2 linked regions of the Drosophila melanogaster genome follow. The protein of the gene in region 1 interacts with the protein of each later gene in a pairwise test. Each region holds a gene or a part of one and is shown on either strand. Other genes may lie near its edges.

Region 1 (7,897 bases):
GGCAACCAGGACATGTGCAGCCAATGCGCAATATCGGGAATAAAGGGCGTAACACGGCGTATCCTTGCTCAACAGCTGCCATAAAAGTTTTACTCCAACGAGGCCTCCAAGCACCTTCAACACTTGGGGAGGCCACTAATTAAATTAAATTTTCGGCTTCACATTCGCTCGATGAATTAAGTGTCATGTCAAAGGTGAAAGGTAAGGGCTCCATGGGCAGAAGACTTTCGTGCGGAAAGCATTTCCTTGCGAGTCCTGTGGACACGGTCCGTTCAATTAATTTGGCCACAAACTTTGCTCGGGCTGTTGTTTGCCCAATTTGATGGCTGAAATTTTCGGCCCGGAAGGAGTTTCGTTCATGACAAACTTGTTGCTCCCGTTCTTTGGGGAAATTCCCAGGTCTACCGAGTTCTGAACCCTTGTCAAACGAAAAATGAAGCTCCGCTAAGGTGTCAAAGACATTCTGGCCATCAATTTCATCAGATCGGAACCCCTTTCGACAGCTCAATACTCTCGTAAAATGAATTCAAATTCTAATTCAAATTTGGTGCCCATGCATTTGGTGGTTTTCCCATTTTTATTTTTGCATTTCAGTTGAAGTGGCCACTGCACACTAAAATTTTGTCGGTTAATTACGTTCACGGCTAATTGCATTTCTGTGGCTTAAAATGCCGCAAAATTTGTTAACAAAATATTTGCAAAAACATTTTTGCACAATTAGCCCGATCATTGTGTGTTTTATGCCGCATGTCCGTGTGCGTATTCATTATGCGCATTTTTGCACCCGTAAAATGCGAAACTAGGATGCCCGTTTAAATTACAATATTGGCGTTTTTGTGGTTGACTGCATTTTTAATTATCTCAATCGGAAATATCGACAGCGGGGGTGTATTTTTCCTGCTTCGCCAAAGGAGCAGCCCAGGCGAACTTGAAGGATCTTCGCTCCTTTTCAATTGAGCTCCTGCGCTTGGTCACCTGGGTGCTCTTGTCCAGCAGCAACGATAGCTCCGATATAGATGGAAGTTCCATGGTATCAAAGTTCTTCAATGTCAGCGCTTCGTCCACCTTCTGGGTGTACTTCAATAGCTCCCCGTGGCATTTCAGTAGCGTTTTCCGGGATTTACTCAGAGCGCTTACCAAGTCATTATAATCCTGCTTATTGCATATAAGAGGGGCCTTGAGGTTGGATGATAGAATTAGTATTTATAAATAGTATGCTTAGAGAGTTGCCAATACCTTTGATGCGAAACAGAACTTCATGTTGGTTTGGATGGGTCGGACGAAGTTGTCACTGTAGTCGAGGTAGTTTCCTCGGGAAATGTCCAGGTCATTATATCGCTCCAAACACAATCCCGTGTTGTGCTTCAGTTCCTCCTTCCACTTGGGCACTTCGAGCAGCCTCTTGGACAACTTTCTGATGCATCGGATGTTTTTCCGTGCCTTTTCGTCCAGTCCAGTCAGAGAGTCAGTTGTCTCCTTGAGTTGGCGATTTACGTCGATGATCTGCTGTAAAGCTCGTACTGTGTCCTGTTGTACTACTCTCAGTTCGTCGTTGTCCGAGCTAGACTGCTCGATGTCCAGTCTCATCTGGTCACTTTCTGGAGGACATTCGACTTTGTTTACTTGTACTGGATGAATTAGGAGGCTCTTCAAATATAGCACACGTTCTCTCATCCTTTCCAGCTTATCGAAAGTCTTTGAAAGTTCCAACTCCGATGGACACTCCTCTTCTTGAATTGGTATGTTATCTAGAGCGGAGATGCTGCAGTGGGTCAGTTCAGATTCACTAGGAGTTTCTAGCAGTCCAGGAGCCTTGCAGTCCATATTTTTAATTTTTTTTTAGCTTACTAATATATGTTCTGTGTAGTGTGAATGTGTACTAAGTCATGGAGTGCTCTGATAAAAATATGCTATATTACTTTTGAATTTTTTTTATTCAATAAACTTTGTGTGTTGCATATGAATGAAACTAAGAAAGTAAAGAATACCTTCCATAAAGTTTTACGTTTTAACGGTTCTTTAAATTCTTAATTTATTTACCTAATAAAATTACTTATTACCAGGATGTTAAGATCATTGTTTCCAGTTTTGGTATTTATGCCTTCAGCGTTTTAATGAAAATGCCTGGCCAGAGTGCCACAAAGTATGTAGCTCGCACAATGTTGCATGCAGTAGAGATTCTTCTACTTCGGAAAAGGGCACACACCTGAAATTTGGCCAAAAGGGGCTGAAATTCCCTGCTGCTAATGATTTTTAATAGCCAAATTGCAAGAAGCTGATGCTGCAGTGGGTCTCAGCTGCCTTCGTCCTGGAAATGCCTCTTAAAAGCGTATTTGTGGTAAGACTCCAGGCACACACACACACACACACACAAATTCTCTCCATGCGGTCAATAAAGTATGCAAAGTGGTAGCGGCAGGTGAGGGTAAATGTGGGCGGAAATGTGGGTGGAGTGACCATGCTGACCTTAAAAACAAATTAGTGGCGCTTACTCAACAAGATTGAGTGGCTCGTGTATCGCTGTCATCGCCGTCGTCATCATTGGTATTCTGCTTTTTGATCAGGGGCAAAATCAGAAAGGGGGGTTGGATTTTATTAACCAGATGTTATTAAACCCTCAATTTCATAATAATATGGATTTAAATATGTTAGCTAGATAAATCATTTGTAAATAATAGTCATCTAAAATGAGATCTAAATATTAACATATTTACTTTAGCTAGTGTATAACTGTATTTTACTTATTTGATTACCAAATCAATTAAAATAAAGTCAATTAAATTGCAAGCATTGATGAAACCAAAATCCATATTAATGAATCTAATTATGAACCCCTTAATTCATATTTTTTCGCGCCACTGTCCATCGACTGCGTACTTTGCTCTTGCAACCGAAGCAAAAAAGGAGGAAAAAATCGGAACTTAATTAATAAAAGAGCCTGCGGCCGTTGCTCCTTGATCCTGTGACTGCCTACAGCATCCTGCTGCCAGAATGCATCTATTTATAGGACCCCATATATTAAGTGATGAATATTCATGCGTACTCAGGGGCCAACAAGGAAAGAGAACTACGACCACTCCGATGACGCTGCAAATCAACAGTCGAGCATAATTTTTGTTAATAAAAGCGTGTAATAATTTGCCGCCAGCCGAAAACATGAGTCGCGGGTCGGAAAGGGGGAGGGGGGGTGCCGAAATGCCCAGAATGTGTTGCAAATGAAATTATGTAAATGTGACAGCGGCAGCAGCAACAACACAGATGTATCTGCAACTGAATTTTGTATCCTTTTTGGGGCGACGAACAGCGGTTGAACCACGAATACAATGGAATAGAGGGGACACTGGTGGTGGGCGGGCACAATGCCTACCACATTCTCTGCCAAAACATGGCTTAATGTTGATTAGATGAATTAAACATGCAAAGCCCAAAACCAGCAGCAGTTGTTGTCGTATTTGGTATCTCTGGGCCAAACAATAAACGGCAGCATAAAATAGATATGTCCGTCCATTGCGTATTTACTGGGCTTGTGGGGTTTTCTGGTGGAAATGAAATTAGTGCAGCCTTTTAACTTTTGCGCGGCAATTGAATAACTTTAATTGGTAATAAAACTAATACCACATTAAGCCGGAAATTGCGAAACTGCAGATGGCAAAGCCAATAGCCAATTGCCAATCACCAATCACCAATCACCAGGGTCGTTTCAAAGGGGTAACTACACAAATCCGCAATTCCCCTTTTTGGCCGCAAGCTGTTTACGATCCTGCCAACTTTAATAGTAAATAACAACAATAACAAGCGCCGCAGGAGCAGCTGCTCAAAGTTTCAGAACAATACAAAAAAGAAAAGGGAAATTCAGGGAAAACCAGCAGTAGCTATACCCAGAGAAAAATCGGAGGAAAGAAAAGTTGGAAAACACTTTACTTTGATGACCGTCCAAGTCTTATGCTCTCGACGTTGTCGCCATGGCTGCCATTCAAATGGCTCGCTTAATTTTACCCTCACCGCGGGGATTGTGGCAACTTTTTAATGACTCCTGGACATATTGTCCGCCCAGGTTGTCATTTCATCTACGCCTCGTCGGGTGACAGGCTCAGTGCGATGGAATCCACTTTTCGGGAATGCCAATGTGACAGTTTTCTTTTAGGTAAAAAATCGGTGTTTCTATAACCTGGAAATTGTAAAACAGATTCCAAAGGAAGTACGACAAGGTTACAAGAATCTATTAAAGCAGAAAATATGTAAAATTTGGAATGCTAAGGTAGTTTTCTTACAACGAAAAAATCACTAGTAATATTACTACTGATGCGCATTTAGAAATCTACATTAAATAATATTTCATACCAGATCATAAGATTAATTTGAGATTTTTAGAACTTCTTCACACCTTTGTATTCCAAACGAAATTAACAAATTGCTTAGACATAAAGTTTGTATTGTATTTATTTAAATATTCCTAAAATGAAAGGGCACCAAATAGTCAGCGATGAGGCAGATCGACTGCATCCATTTTTTCAGCCGATGGCTAGGCTCAATCATTATTGATTTCCTGAGTGGATGCCCCAATCGCGTTCGCAGACTTATCTGGAAAAGGGTGAGCTCCAAGTAGCACTTGGGGCGCTTTGACAAAAACTTTCTTTTGTACATATTATTTATGCCCGGCTCCCGGGAGCTCGAGGTGGCGGTGGATTGGATGAAATGGGTGGTCAGGGGTCCCCTCAATACAAGTGGCTCCTGTCACGGCTGTTATTGCTCTTTTATTTGTATTGGCTTTGGGCCTGGTTGCTACATTTTTTAATTTATGTAGCAGCTGTTGCTCCGGCGTAAATGTCAAATGCATTGGTTTGCTTTTTGTTTTCCTTTTTAAAGGGGCGGTTGGAATTGGGAGAAATGGTATAGAGGGGTATAGAAAGTCAAAGCCGAGGACTCATAATGTGTTAAGTTTTTGCCCCGACGAGTGAGTGGCTCGTGCTCGAGTTGTTGGCAAACAGTTTGGCTCCTTGGCCAAAACGCCGCTCCACTTCGTCCAACTTCGAGCTTTAAGTGGCACTGAAAGTTTTACCCAAAAGAGGCCAGCAAACTAATTATTTAGTTTCGCTTCGTTCCGTTTGGCAGCGGCAAATGCCAAACGTCAGCCAAATATCAATAAAAACTCCAATCGAGATCTATTTCAATTAACTTGTTAAGAAACTTTTTAATTAACGGCACTGCAGCTCCTGTACAATTCCTTTTCCCTTCTATTGCCCCGCTGAATACAGCCTGAATTTATGGCTGCTCCTAATTGGGCAACAATAAAGCAAAGGAAAAAGGACTTACATGGGGGGGGGGCTTTAGAAATGGACGAGTCCTGTGATATGTAAATGTTTATAAATCAAGTTGCGACTGTTGGCGGTGACAAGTGGTCGGCCGAATGGTCGGACACTTGAAATAAATAAATAAACGAGCCGGCGACCTGTGTCCTGGTTAGTTCAACATTCCGATTCCCCCTTTCATTCCGTTTCGATATATTGTAGTTCCACTTTTACTTTTACCCTCATCAAAAATAGACTGAGGGGTATTTTTTCAGCCTGACACCTTGTGATTTAAAAGCCGCAACATATGAGTCGGGGATCCATGGTCTTAGTGATTTATACGGACCCCGTTGATTTACCGCCACAATGGCTATTAGTGGGTCCAGAAATCCCACTCCCCAGAATCGACACTCGATTTGCTGCTGTCGACAATTACATTGTCTAGACCAAGGCAACTGTCAAAACTAGATGCTTCTCCAGGACTCTGAGGACTTTGGGGCAAGTCGAAGGCATTGACTTCAAGTCGATTATAGAAATGACAAAAGCAGCTTGGCAATACAAAGCTAAGTAAATTCGAGTTTTTTAGCCGCTTGATAAATTGTGATTGTGCCACCGGCTTGGAGCTATTAATAAGATAAATGAGCGTCAATAAGTGGCGCTGGCACTTCGATTTCATTCCCGGCTGACTTTTCGACTTCCTCTGGTACAACGCGGCGTATGCGTAATTACCATTTCATATGCATTAAGAGGAGCTTCAGTCAACCCAACCGTTTAATAGTCAAATAAGTAGCACAGAGGAATACGCCTATAATATAAATACTATGCGATTTTATCTACCTTTGAACAAAGTTACAAAAAATGCATATTTTTTTATAATAAATAGCTTGAAGCTGTAAGAGCAAATTTCATTGCATATTCAGTATAGTACACTCATTATTTTATTTTTCAAATGAACTTACAATTTTTTTAAGTGCTCTTGGATAAATTACTCGTATATGAGGTAGATGGGGAAAAAGGAGCGGAAAAGGGAGGTTCAAAGTGGGTAAAAGCGAACTGAAGCAGGAGAATCCGTTCCGATGTCATTAAGCGCATTTGAAAAATCATCAACAATACAAACGCGATGCGTTGACAATGCTGCCAGCTTGGACGCTAGCGAAATAAAAAAATAAAAATGGAACCGTATCAATAAATTGAAATGCGATCAATAATAATTATGATTGGGATTGGGCGATTGGACGATTGGTAGCCAGACATGCGAGGCGCGGGAAATTCTCAAAGTGAATACACCGAATAATTGCGTTTCCATGCAATTGCTCAATTCCACAAGGAGTCGCTGCCTATCGGGCACAATAGGGCGATTATCGATAAGTGAAATGGGGCTGCAGAAATAATCATTAAAGAATGGCTCCTCGCAAAACGGATGACACACTCAAGTTCTCAAAGGGCGATGGAAATAAGAGCTTCGGGCTTTTTCCAGAGATGAATGCTTAACAATTACTTATCGGCGGAAATTAAGTACTTCAATGGATAGAACAAATGAAATTTGTATTTTATGAAGCTTTTTATATATGTTATTAGCAATCAACAATGATTACATTTTAAATACATTAATATTAAATACGTTTTTCTAAAATTCACCGCGAAGTTGCAACAATTTTTCTATTTAACAATTACTATCTTTCATAAACCATTGTGCATAAATCCATTCAGCCATTGTGATATCCCGCAGAGTTCCGACCGCAAATTCCCATCGATGTTCCCATTGTTCCGGTTCCCTACTTTCCCACTGTCCCGATACAAATGTATATATATAACTATATATATGTATATATAAGTATGAGTAGCCACGAGCAACCGTCAATGGCAGCGTTTAAAAAAACATTAGTTTAACTGGCCGGCAGCAGCAAAGTTGATGGCGAGTCTGAGTTTAGCGAGCGGGGAAAATGGAAAAGTCGAAGATGCCAAGGTCCAGGGTCTTCCCCGCCCCCGATTGTGAAAGATATACCAGCCGAGTGACCGCAAATTTCTCTAGCCTGCTGTCCAGTTCGTCACAATGGAAATCCAATTTAATTTTACTGATTCTGCACTTTGCACAAATCGAAGTGCCCTAACCAAAATCTCATCGTTAAAGATGCGGTCGGGCTAAAACCGCAGGCTCCACCGCAAAACAGGCTGCATTTGCTAAGGGACTATGCGGACTAAAGGGCGATCTCCATTACCAGACATGCATATAAACGTATATATGTACGTAACTATATGTAGTACCGCACAGTACAGTGGGCACATCTAATTATTGTTTACTGTGCTTAAACGCCGGGAAAATTGAATTGGAACCAACAAAAAAATGCGACGAAAATCGAATTTGCGTCCGGAATTTGGGTTTCCTTTGCGAGCAGCAGACCACAAGACGGGAAACAGAAAGGACCAGCCGGGACTCGCAGTCAGGACAGGCCAGCAAACAAATCCTCAAAGATTTCAGCTTAGCCGAAGGCAATAAGCAGCCAGAGAAGCGTAAGGAAAAAGCCATGGCAAAGACACAGGTGAAAGAGATTGCTGCACCGGGAAAATCTCGGCGGTAAAAGGGCGTCATAAATCGGTGAAATATTTAT
Region 2 (9,100 bases), on another chromosome or scaffold:
GACAGGGACGCGGACGAAAGGGGTAGGGGGGGGGGGGCTGCACTTAATCCCTTCGTGACATCTGACAATTGCAATTTAGCCGGCGATCCATTGAGAGTCCAGAGTCTCTGGCCAGTCGGCTGATCTATTGTCTCACGGTCGTGTTGTTGGCATTTCATTGTTGATTAGGCAAATACTTACAAAGCAGCAACAAAAAAATGCTTAATTAAACTATTCGTTTGTTTTTACAACTGCCCAATGATGACTCATGTTTGCCGTAAGCTTCTAGTTTCTATACACTTGTTGAGATGAGAAATGCGCAGATTCAAATGAATATAATGCATTTTTAATGTACGCTACCTGGCTAGTTTGGAATATAAAGTATTATTCATAAGCCGCTTTAAACTTTGTAAATATTCGCCTCATTTTCGAACGCGAATTTCATTTCGTTCAGCTGGCTTACAATTACCAAAGCCAGGAAAACAAACACATTCTCGTGTACTTTTTCACCCATTAAAAATAGCAATCACGATACAACGATAAAGTTTTCGTCTAAAATTGTATGGGTTTCAATTGAAAGTGATTAATCATTGGACTGCAAACTAAACACTTGTTGCGCTAAAAAAAATAACAAGTTTCACTGCCTCTTAAAATTGCAGCATCTTTTGAAATTCATATAGAGCCAACTAAAGTTATCACTTCCTTTGAATTTAATTTAATTGTTTAATTTAACACAAGCCAATAGACGTTGCGGTAAAACCTAAAAACCCAACAAAAAGTGCCAAGCTGTTGATTTCATTTTCTACGAATTAATGTAAAGCCAAAGTGACAAGGCCAATAATAAAACTCCTTGGCACAATAAACGAATTACATTTGCCAGCTCAAATTCCAAAAACAAAACAAAAAAATGAGGAAACATTTTATTTTAATTTATATGTAGCCAGTCGGCGTTGTTGTTTTCAATTCAATTTACAATTCATATGAACAAAGTTCAATTTATTTGTTTTCTTTTACCGCAAAAGTCCAAAATTCCAAGGCAATAGGTTAAGTCACTTTAAATTAAAACCCCAAAATGTACGCATTTTATTTAGTTCGCAAAAGTGTTTTCTACTTAAATGATTTGTTCATTCAATTGGCTTTGTTTTCAATGCTTTAATTTAATATGCATTTTCTGACTTGGCTGTTAAATTCGCAAATTAAGCAGTCGGCTTAGATTTCTAGGAAGAACAGATAAAACTTTAAATGTATCTGTGTTATCAACGTTTAGTTTAGTTTTAATTGAATTGTCAATTAGATAGTGTTCTTACATATTCAGAAATAAGACTTGAATTAATCTTCAATTAAATGACCACCAATTTTTCATAACCAGCTTATTGCCCCATAAAAAAACTGTGAGTATTTCCACTTCATAACAATTGCAACTGATTTAGGCCAGACACAAAATGTTAATTATCTCACTATATATCATACAATTTAACCAAAACATTTGTATGGGCTCGAAAATTAACTTCAATTTGCATAACAAAATATCCGTCTAAATTAAACAAATTGCCCGTCTATTCAGCGGCAAATGCCAACAATGAAAAATACATGTAATAATTCACCAATAATTTTCATAATTGTTTTGAGTTTTATTACTCCACACATAGTTCCACGTACGAGCAGCAGAAATTCGAAAAAGGAAAAAAAAAAGTGATTTATGTGAACATGCAATTGCAATTTGTTCTGGGGCAGAGAAAGACATTCCCTGGAAAAAGTTCTTAAAAGCGAATTATGGCCACAATTAACCCAATTCTTTTGGCCATGGGACACTGACATGAAGCGATCTCATAAAAAACCAAATTAAGAAAAATAAGAAAACAAAACAAGCGAAGAAAAGTGCTCAAGAATTTCACTTGCAATCAGCCAGAGAAATTGGGATGACTTGAGTGTATAATATGACAGTTCATTCAACCGATTCCGAGTTTGTTGAAGAATGTAACAATATTAATTTAAATTTGAAATATATAATCCAGAATAGATTAGCCTGCAGATAAATCCAGTATATCCACAATTATCGTGATTTAATTGGTTACGTAAATTATTTTAATTGGATATGATTCTATTCTCAGCATGTTCAGATCGCAAATCATTAATAATTAAATAGAGAAAACAAATGTTTAAACAGTACTAATCTGACTTATATGCACAGTAGTTAGAGTAGCTACTATGTGTATTTTGAAATATGTAATAAAAAACATTGTCTCATCAATTTACGAAATATTTCATTGCAATTTCAAGCACTCATTGCTAAGATGATTCTCAAGCAAGATTTGCCGAAAAATTGTGATTCACGAGTGTTGCATAAAATTTGTATATTCCTGGCAAATGATTTGGACAGCAACGAATTTGACAACTTCAAGTGGCTGTGGCAGCTGCCAACCCGCTGCCACGCCCACTCCCACCATTCCGCCCATCTGTGGGGGTATCTGCGATTCGCTGGCAGCTTCTTCAGCAATTTATGCATTCAAGTGGCAGCCAAAGGCAGCGAACAGCAAACGCTGATGATGACAATAAAGGACGCTGGATCTGCGATGCTGCGCCGAGCATTCCTGATATTTTGCCATTTGTAGTTACTTGTGTTGTATCTGTAAGATGCATTTGGCTGATTGTCAAGTGCCACGCTTTGTTATCAGCATGCTGACATCATTATCCGGCAAAGGCAGCGACTTTAAACTTTAATCTGCTGCAGAGTGGAATTAAAACATTTTTTCATATCCAACAGATTGTATTTACTAATAATTACGTATTATATGCATAATAATTTATTTATATTGCTCCAAGTCACAATTACATCGAGGTAATCTTTAAGATTCTACCAGAATATTCCAGATCAAGAAGGTATAAGAGGAACGTACTACGTAGAAGAGTGCAAATCAGAATTCCCGGTGCTTATCAATTTTCTTTGTTTTTAAAGTCAAAAGGTTGACTGTGTTTTTTAATAACTAATTATGTGCACATAAAAATGAGAAAGTAAAGAGAAGGAAAACAAATATGTATGTTGCATATGTGTACAAATTGCATATTAGTTAGTTCCGTTATACGTATTACTTAGGGCAAGTTAACATTTAGTTTTCAAGTATTAATCATTTAAATGTTAATTTATGAAGTGCATCATGATTGGATTGCTTTTAAGCCTTTCACTTACCTGGCAATGTGAAAACGCCGCTAAGGGCTAGCACGGTCATCAGCAAACCGAACAAGAGCTTCATTTTTGTTTGGTTTTTTTTTTTTCACAAGCTTATAATTTGTTTAATTTGTATAGTTTATTTAGGGCTGAAAGCTTTGATGCGTTGATGTGGACCGGCAACCGGATTCGATTCTGTTCAGTTTTGTTCTGTGCGGAAAGACAAACAATCGTCAAATGCGCTTAAATGATTTGAGGAAGCGGCAAATAAACGGCGGCCGGCTGAGTGAGTGAGCGAGTGAGAAACCGAGTGAGTGACTAGCTGACCGCTCTCTTGCTCTCCCTCTCACTCAATTAGCCGCTGGGCTTATAAATATTCCAAATGGCAGGCGGCAAGTGTTGTGGGAAGAGCGCTACACTGTGCCCGTCAACTGGGTACAATATTTGGGGACTCCACTGTGTACAGAATGCAGCGTATTAGTAATGTTCTTAGGCACATTTAAGTTAACTTTTATTTTCGTTACACCTTTTTGTTTCCGTTATAGCTTACTGGTTCATTAACTATTGTATCTACTACTATAAAAAATATAATATAATATAACTTTATCTTTATAATTATATATATATAAAAGCAGTTCTAAAAGGGCATTTGCTACTAATATTTTAAAATTTCGATTAAAAGGGTGTTTGAAAGTCGCCGTTGCTCATTGAACCTTTTGTAAATTTAGTTGTGTTTTCAATTTACTTAATCAGTTTTTGTCTATGCTTCGTTAGCTGCACGCGGGCTTCTCTATTCCACTATATTTGTATTTCAGACTTTAAATGTGTCCCTGTCACAGTTGCTGAATGTTTCAGTCGCCCCATTCGTATTTCAATTCCACTTCGATTGCATTGTATGGAACTATGTCTATTCAACGGCTGCTCGAATCACCTGTTAAATGCGCTTGGTGTTTAGTTCAAGGTTGTTGTTTCTGTAAACAAAAGCATCATTTGCTTATTTCCCTAATGGGCAGCTATTGAGAATTTTCTTCCAAGGAAATGAAAACGGAGCTAAAGACTATTCTCAGTAATTAAATGGTTATGATAGAGTGCTTCTTTTTAATTCCATCGATAAAGTAGTCACGCCTTGATTGAGCCGGGTTTAATCACGATTTTACTAACGAATATGCCAAAGATCGGCAATTTATTGGAAATCTTTAGTTAATCCGATTATGAATGATCTTTTTGACCCGAGAGAACTTACGATATAACACCCAATTACAGTTCTGATAAATATAAAAAGCCGTAAAGAATTTGTATAATTATACACTGATTTAAATCTAGAATGTATTATAATCTCAAAATGAACTGGAATTTTTGCACATCAGAAAATTATTTAAATATCTTGCCCGACAGTAAATTTTTCAAGGTCTTCAAAATTAGCAACTATAAACTTTAAATAGCATTTTTAATGTCTGATAGTTTTAGAAAGCTATTGTTTATGTTGGGCTCAGCATAAAAGTGAGCACAAGTAAATATTTCGCAAACAGCTGCGTGAAGTAAATTAGGCATCCAAATTATTGCCCAGACAGCCTAAACAAGCTGCAAATTGTTTGTTTGTAAACATTTTTGTCAGCGCCGAAGCGGAAATTGTTCACGCACACAATTTCATTCACATACACATGCCGACAACCGCGAATTTGCATAAATTTTATTATTGTTACCGGTGTCATACAGTTATTTCTGTGGATCGCTTGAATCACTCGATTTCGAAAGATCGGAGAAGAACGCGCGATCTTCAACGTGCGTTGGCTTTAATGAAACGTTTCGGACTAAACGGTTGCGTACGATTTTGGCTTCATTTATACCAGCTCACGTCGTTGGCACTCAAAAAAAAACAAAGAATTGAGAAGAGAGACCGGGAAAGGGAGGAATGCGCAGAGAAGAATACGAGAGCGAAGAAGGGTCTTCCGAGTGCTCCAAATGTGCATTCAACAATGTTTTAATTAAAAAAAAAAAAGAAAAATAACTAAAGAACTTTCAATTTTATATTTTTACAACAGATCCACTACCAAAGATGCCCCATCCTGTTTACCCAAAAAGTAGCAGAAATTTTACAAAAAGAATATTCATTGACACGTCAGTGGGAGCAAAAATGAATGTCGCCAGCGGAACGCGAATGTCCTCCAGTGCAGTCCCTTGACCAAAACCGTTGGAGTTCGAGGTGTATGTATAAAAATCAGAAATTCAAAGCGGATGGCCGACAGCGCCGAGAAAGAGGCGGGGATATAGTTAGCGACAAGGAACGCGCGCCAAGCTACGTTCTTGGATTGACAATGAAGTCCACCTGCCCCCTTTTACCTGAACTTGCCTCTTGGGAGCCGTGTTGCTTTATGGTTTTCGACCAGATTGAAATCGCGATCGGCGCAGCTACAGCTGTTAAAATCTCCTGCAGGCTGCTCTTCATGCTCTACAACTTGTAATTCTTGTCGTGGTCCCACGAACCGGATTCTGTTTTAACTACACTTTCGTTGGTTTTATTCGAACTGCTATTTTCGTTTTACTAAATACAGGTTTGATTGCACTATGCCTTTAAGTGGCAGAGGAGCATTTAAAATAAATTACCATTTTCGGTTAATCGTTGACACAACATTCTTGCGGTCGAGTCAATAAATTCCCCAAAAAACAAGATTTGGTTGTCAAGGCTTCGAAGTGAGAAGAATTTGAGTCAGCTTAGTCCTACATATATTTAAGTGAGTAAAGCTTGGCTTTTAGGACCAACGATATTTTAAAATATCAGATTGACTTGTTTTTAAATAAACTATTTACAATGCTATGATCTTCAGGTAAATATCGTAGTATATTTTCTATTTTTTTATATATACTAATTATATATATTTTTCTTTATCATTTGCAGTCTCTTAATTAGTCATAAATCTTTCGAATTTAAATTTAGACACCGGATGACAGACAGAAACACTCACAGATTATAACGAAACGTGCTCTTGACCTTGACACTGTTGGAAAAAAATGAAGTACCCATATTCAGATATTTATTTTAGGATTGAATATTTTTAGAATGTTTTAAATTTCCTTGATAAACTTTATTCTTGCGCCATCTATGTACTTGCAGAAGACGCTGATACTAGCGCCACCTGGCAGCAGTAGGTTCTTAACATTTCTGTTAATTTTACAGAGCTGGAAATATGCTGGCTGTTCGAACGAGAGTTGCCAGATGAATTTAGACGTTGCCTTGGTAACGGTTTTCACTTGATTTTATTGTCGAAATAAAATAAATAAAGAAGGAAAACAAATATAAGGGACTAAAATAAAATAATAATGTTTCGTCGTGGAAAACTATCCTTTCTAAACACCAAAGATGACCGTGTTAAAATAATAAACGAGCGCATAAACATAACAGAAAGGCATCTAATGGAGATGTGCTCTTCGTTTGCTTTGGTAACGCGGAAAATGGCCAAGTGAGTTTGGTAAATAAATAAATCTGAATGAATAATCATAAGACCTTGCAGATATCGGGACTCCTTTGATGAGTTGGCCAAGAGTGTGAAGAGCTACGCCGACGACGAGGAAATCAACGAGAGTCTCTGTCAGGGACTGAAGAGCTTCACCAACGCGGTTACCATAATGGGTGATTACATGGACATCAATGTACACCGATTGGAACACAAGGTGAATTATCCTTTTTTAAATCTGCATCTTATATCATATTATTGACTTATGTAGATTGTCAACGAGTTGGCGCAATTCGAGCAGCTTTGCAAGTCCACAAGGGACAATCTTCGACTGGCTGTCATAGCGCGGGATAAGGAGGTACTACGTCAGCGCCAGATGCTTGAGCTCAAGTCAAAGTTTTCTGCGAACAATGTGGGTATTAAAACGAACAATTTACTTCTTATATAATTCCCAAAACTTACCGTAGAGTGCCGCCGATTCGGAGCTGTTTAAGGCCAAAATGGAGGTGCAGCGCACAAACAAGGAGATAGACGACATTATTGGCAACTTCGAGCAGCGGAAGTTGCGCGACTTAAAGCAGATAATCAGCGATTTTATACTGATCGCCATGAAACAGCACACCAAGGCATTGGAGATACTCAGCGCAAGCTACTATGATATTGGAACCATTGATGAGCGCGACGATTTCATTGAGTTTCAGAAACTCATGAAGACCAAAGAAGAGCTGGCTTCCAGGAAAACTGCACTCAAAAAGGGACTGCGCTCCCAGTCGATGGATAGCTTGGAGCACGAGCACCTGGTCAGTCCGCTCAAGAGGCGCCCGAAGTTGTCCAGGAGCAATAGGAATCTGACGGGAGCCGGAATCAATCATGGAAGTAAAACAGAACCCGAAGATGAAACCGACGAGCAGGATGAAGAGGAAGATGATGAAGATGAGGTATGATTTGGCATGATTATGGAATGATAGAATAACTCCATTCCTCCCAAGGAAACCGAGCAAAGTGGCGAAGAGGACGAGGAATCTGGAACGGCAACGGATGACGAGAGGGAACCCACGCAGCCGGGCAACCAGGTTCCTCCGCGGGAGAATGTTTTTGGGGCCAAGATCCGATCTGCCAGCAAGGATATAGCCACGCCATCGACCAGTGCCAGTGCCACTTCTGCTCCTTCGAAGCCCAGCAGACAAACGGTCAAACATCCATTCAAGGCGGTGGCCTCCACCCATGTAAGGCTGCAGAAGCAGTTCCACGTGCCCCAGCACTAGCACTCAAATTATGACCAGTAGTAGAGTTCCTAGAGCTCACATCAGTATTGCAGGCACATTCTGGAATCGTAGCAAGAGCTTAAATAAAATTGAATTAGGAACATACTTCTAAGGGTTTATCTTAATTGGTTTTTGTAACCCCGCAGTCTCAGAGCTTCCTTTCATAATTTAATCAGAATGTATTACCACTCTCTATCTCATTGCCTTAAAAAACATGATATGTAGAAGCAACACAAATTGCAATTAATATTCGAAAATCATTCTGGTCCACAAATCAATGTTGATTTTCCTTTTAAAAGTAGGGATTGTTATATAGCACTCCTTGCCATTCAGCGCTGATTTCCATACACTTTTTATTAATGGACACGGGTCACGATTTGCATTATTTGTCCCAGATAAACAATACTAAATATATGCATATCATAACTAATCAAGCGGAAATGACGCGCTTCTCTTCCCCTTTTCGCAATAAACTTTCAGGTGAGGAAACACAAATCGGGAACTGGTCGCCTGGTAACCGTTGTTAAATCGAAGTCCTGAACACCCAAATAGCAGGGAATTTACAATTCTTGAATTTTTAATTTATAAATAGAAACTAAACGGCAATAATTCAAAATTATTGGCCATTGCTCACAAAAGAATTACTTTACTTAAATTATGATGTGCCCCGACCGGGCGAAACTTAAAACTAAGCAATAAATGGATGAGCAAATGTGTTCTTTTCTTCATTTCTTGGGGAGCAGCTGGGTGCGGAGGAGATTAAATGAATGTGAGAACCTGGAATTGTAAACTTGATACGGGTGACTGGGTGCCAGGTGTTCGATGTATGTATCTAATGGTATTGGGATGCACTTTCCGAATGGGCGTGGCCGTGCCAGCGCTACGGATCTCATTTCTCCGGTCCCTGACCCTCGATCCCGGCCTGGTTCATCAGATCCGCAATGCTCTTCTCCAGATCGTCGATGCGGTTGCCCATGTCATCGATGCGCGTTATTATCTGGTCCGACATCGTCTGGAACTTGTCCTGAACGTTCTGCAACAGATTTTGTACCTGATAACAGGAGGCAGGTTTACTGGGTGCTCATTTGGTGTCTCTATTTACTGGGTGGTTCCCGGTTCGGGCATTACTCACGTATATGGTCAGCTCCTGCATGTTTTTGGGGTCCGCATTGCTGTTCAGGGAGTAGTTCTGGTCCAGATCGCTGTCCATCTCGTTGCGCAGATCGGTCATTCTGTGG

The links. Proteins that work in one complex are often made in the same cells at the same time.
Region 2: the proteins of CG8065 (region 1) and vir-1 interact in a two-hybrid assay, tested with the Drosophila melanogaster proteins (one large-scale study listed by BioGRID).

What each region holds. Positions count from the first base shown.
Region 1 is NT_037436.4:10,209,639-10,217,535, reverse strand, and holds CG8065 (uncharacterized protein), read right to left. Parts: upstream 1,872-7,897; 5' UTR 1,825-1,871; coding exon 1,237-1,824; intron 1,177-1,236; coding exon 862-1,176; 3' UTR 556-861; downstream 1-555.
Region 2 is NT_033779.5:12,418,475-12,427,574, forward strand, and holds the start of vir-1 (virus-induced RNA 1), read right to left. Parts: upstream 4,966-9,100; 5' UTR 4,849-4,965; intron 3,389-4,848; exon of another isoform or gene 3,356-3,388; 5' UTR 3,231-3,355; coding exon 3,167-3,230; intron 1-3,166. Other genes in the region: Fam92, read left to right, coding at 6,464-6,603, 6,655-6,814, 6,869-7,009, 7,065-7,535, 7,587-7,862; CG5446 (uncharacterized protein), read right to left, coding at 8,752-8,913, 8,995-9,093.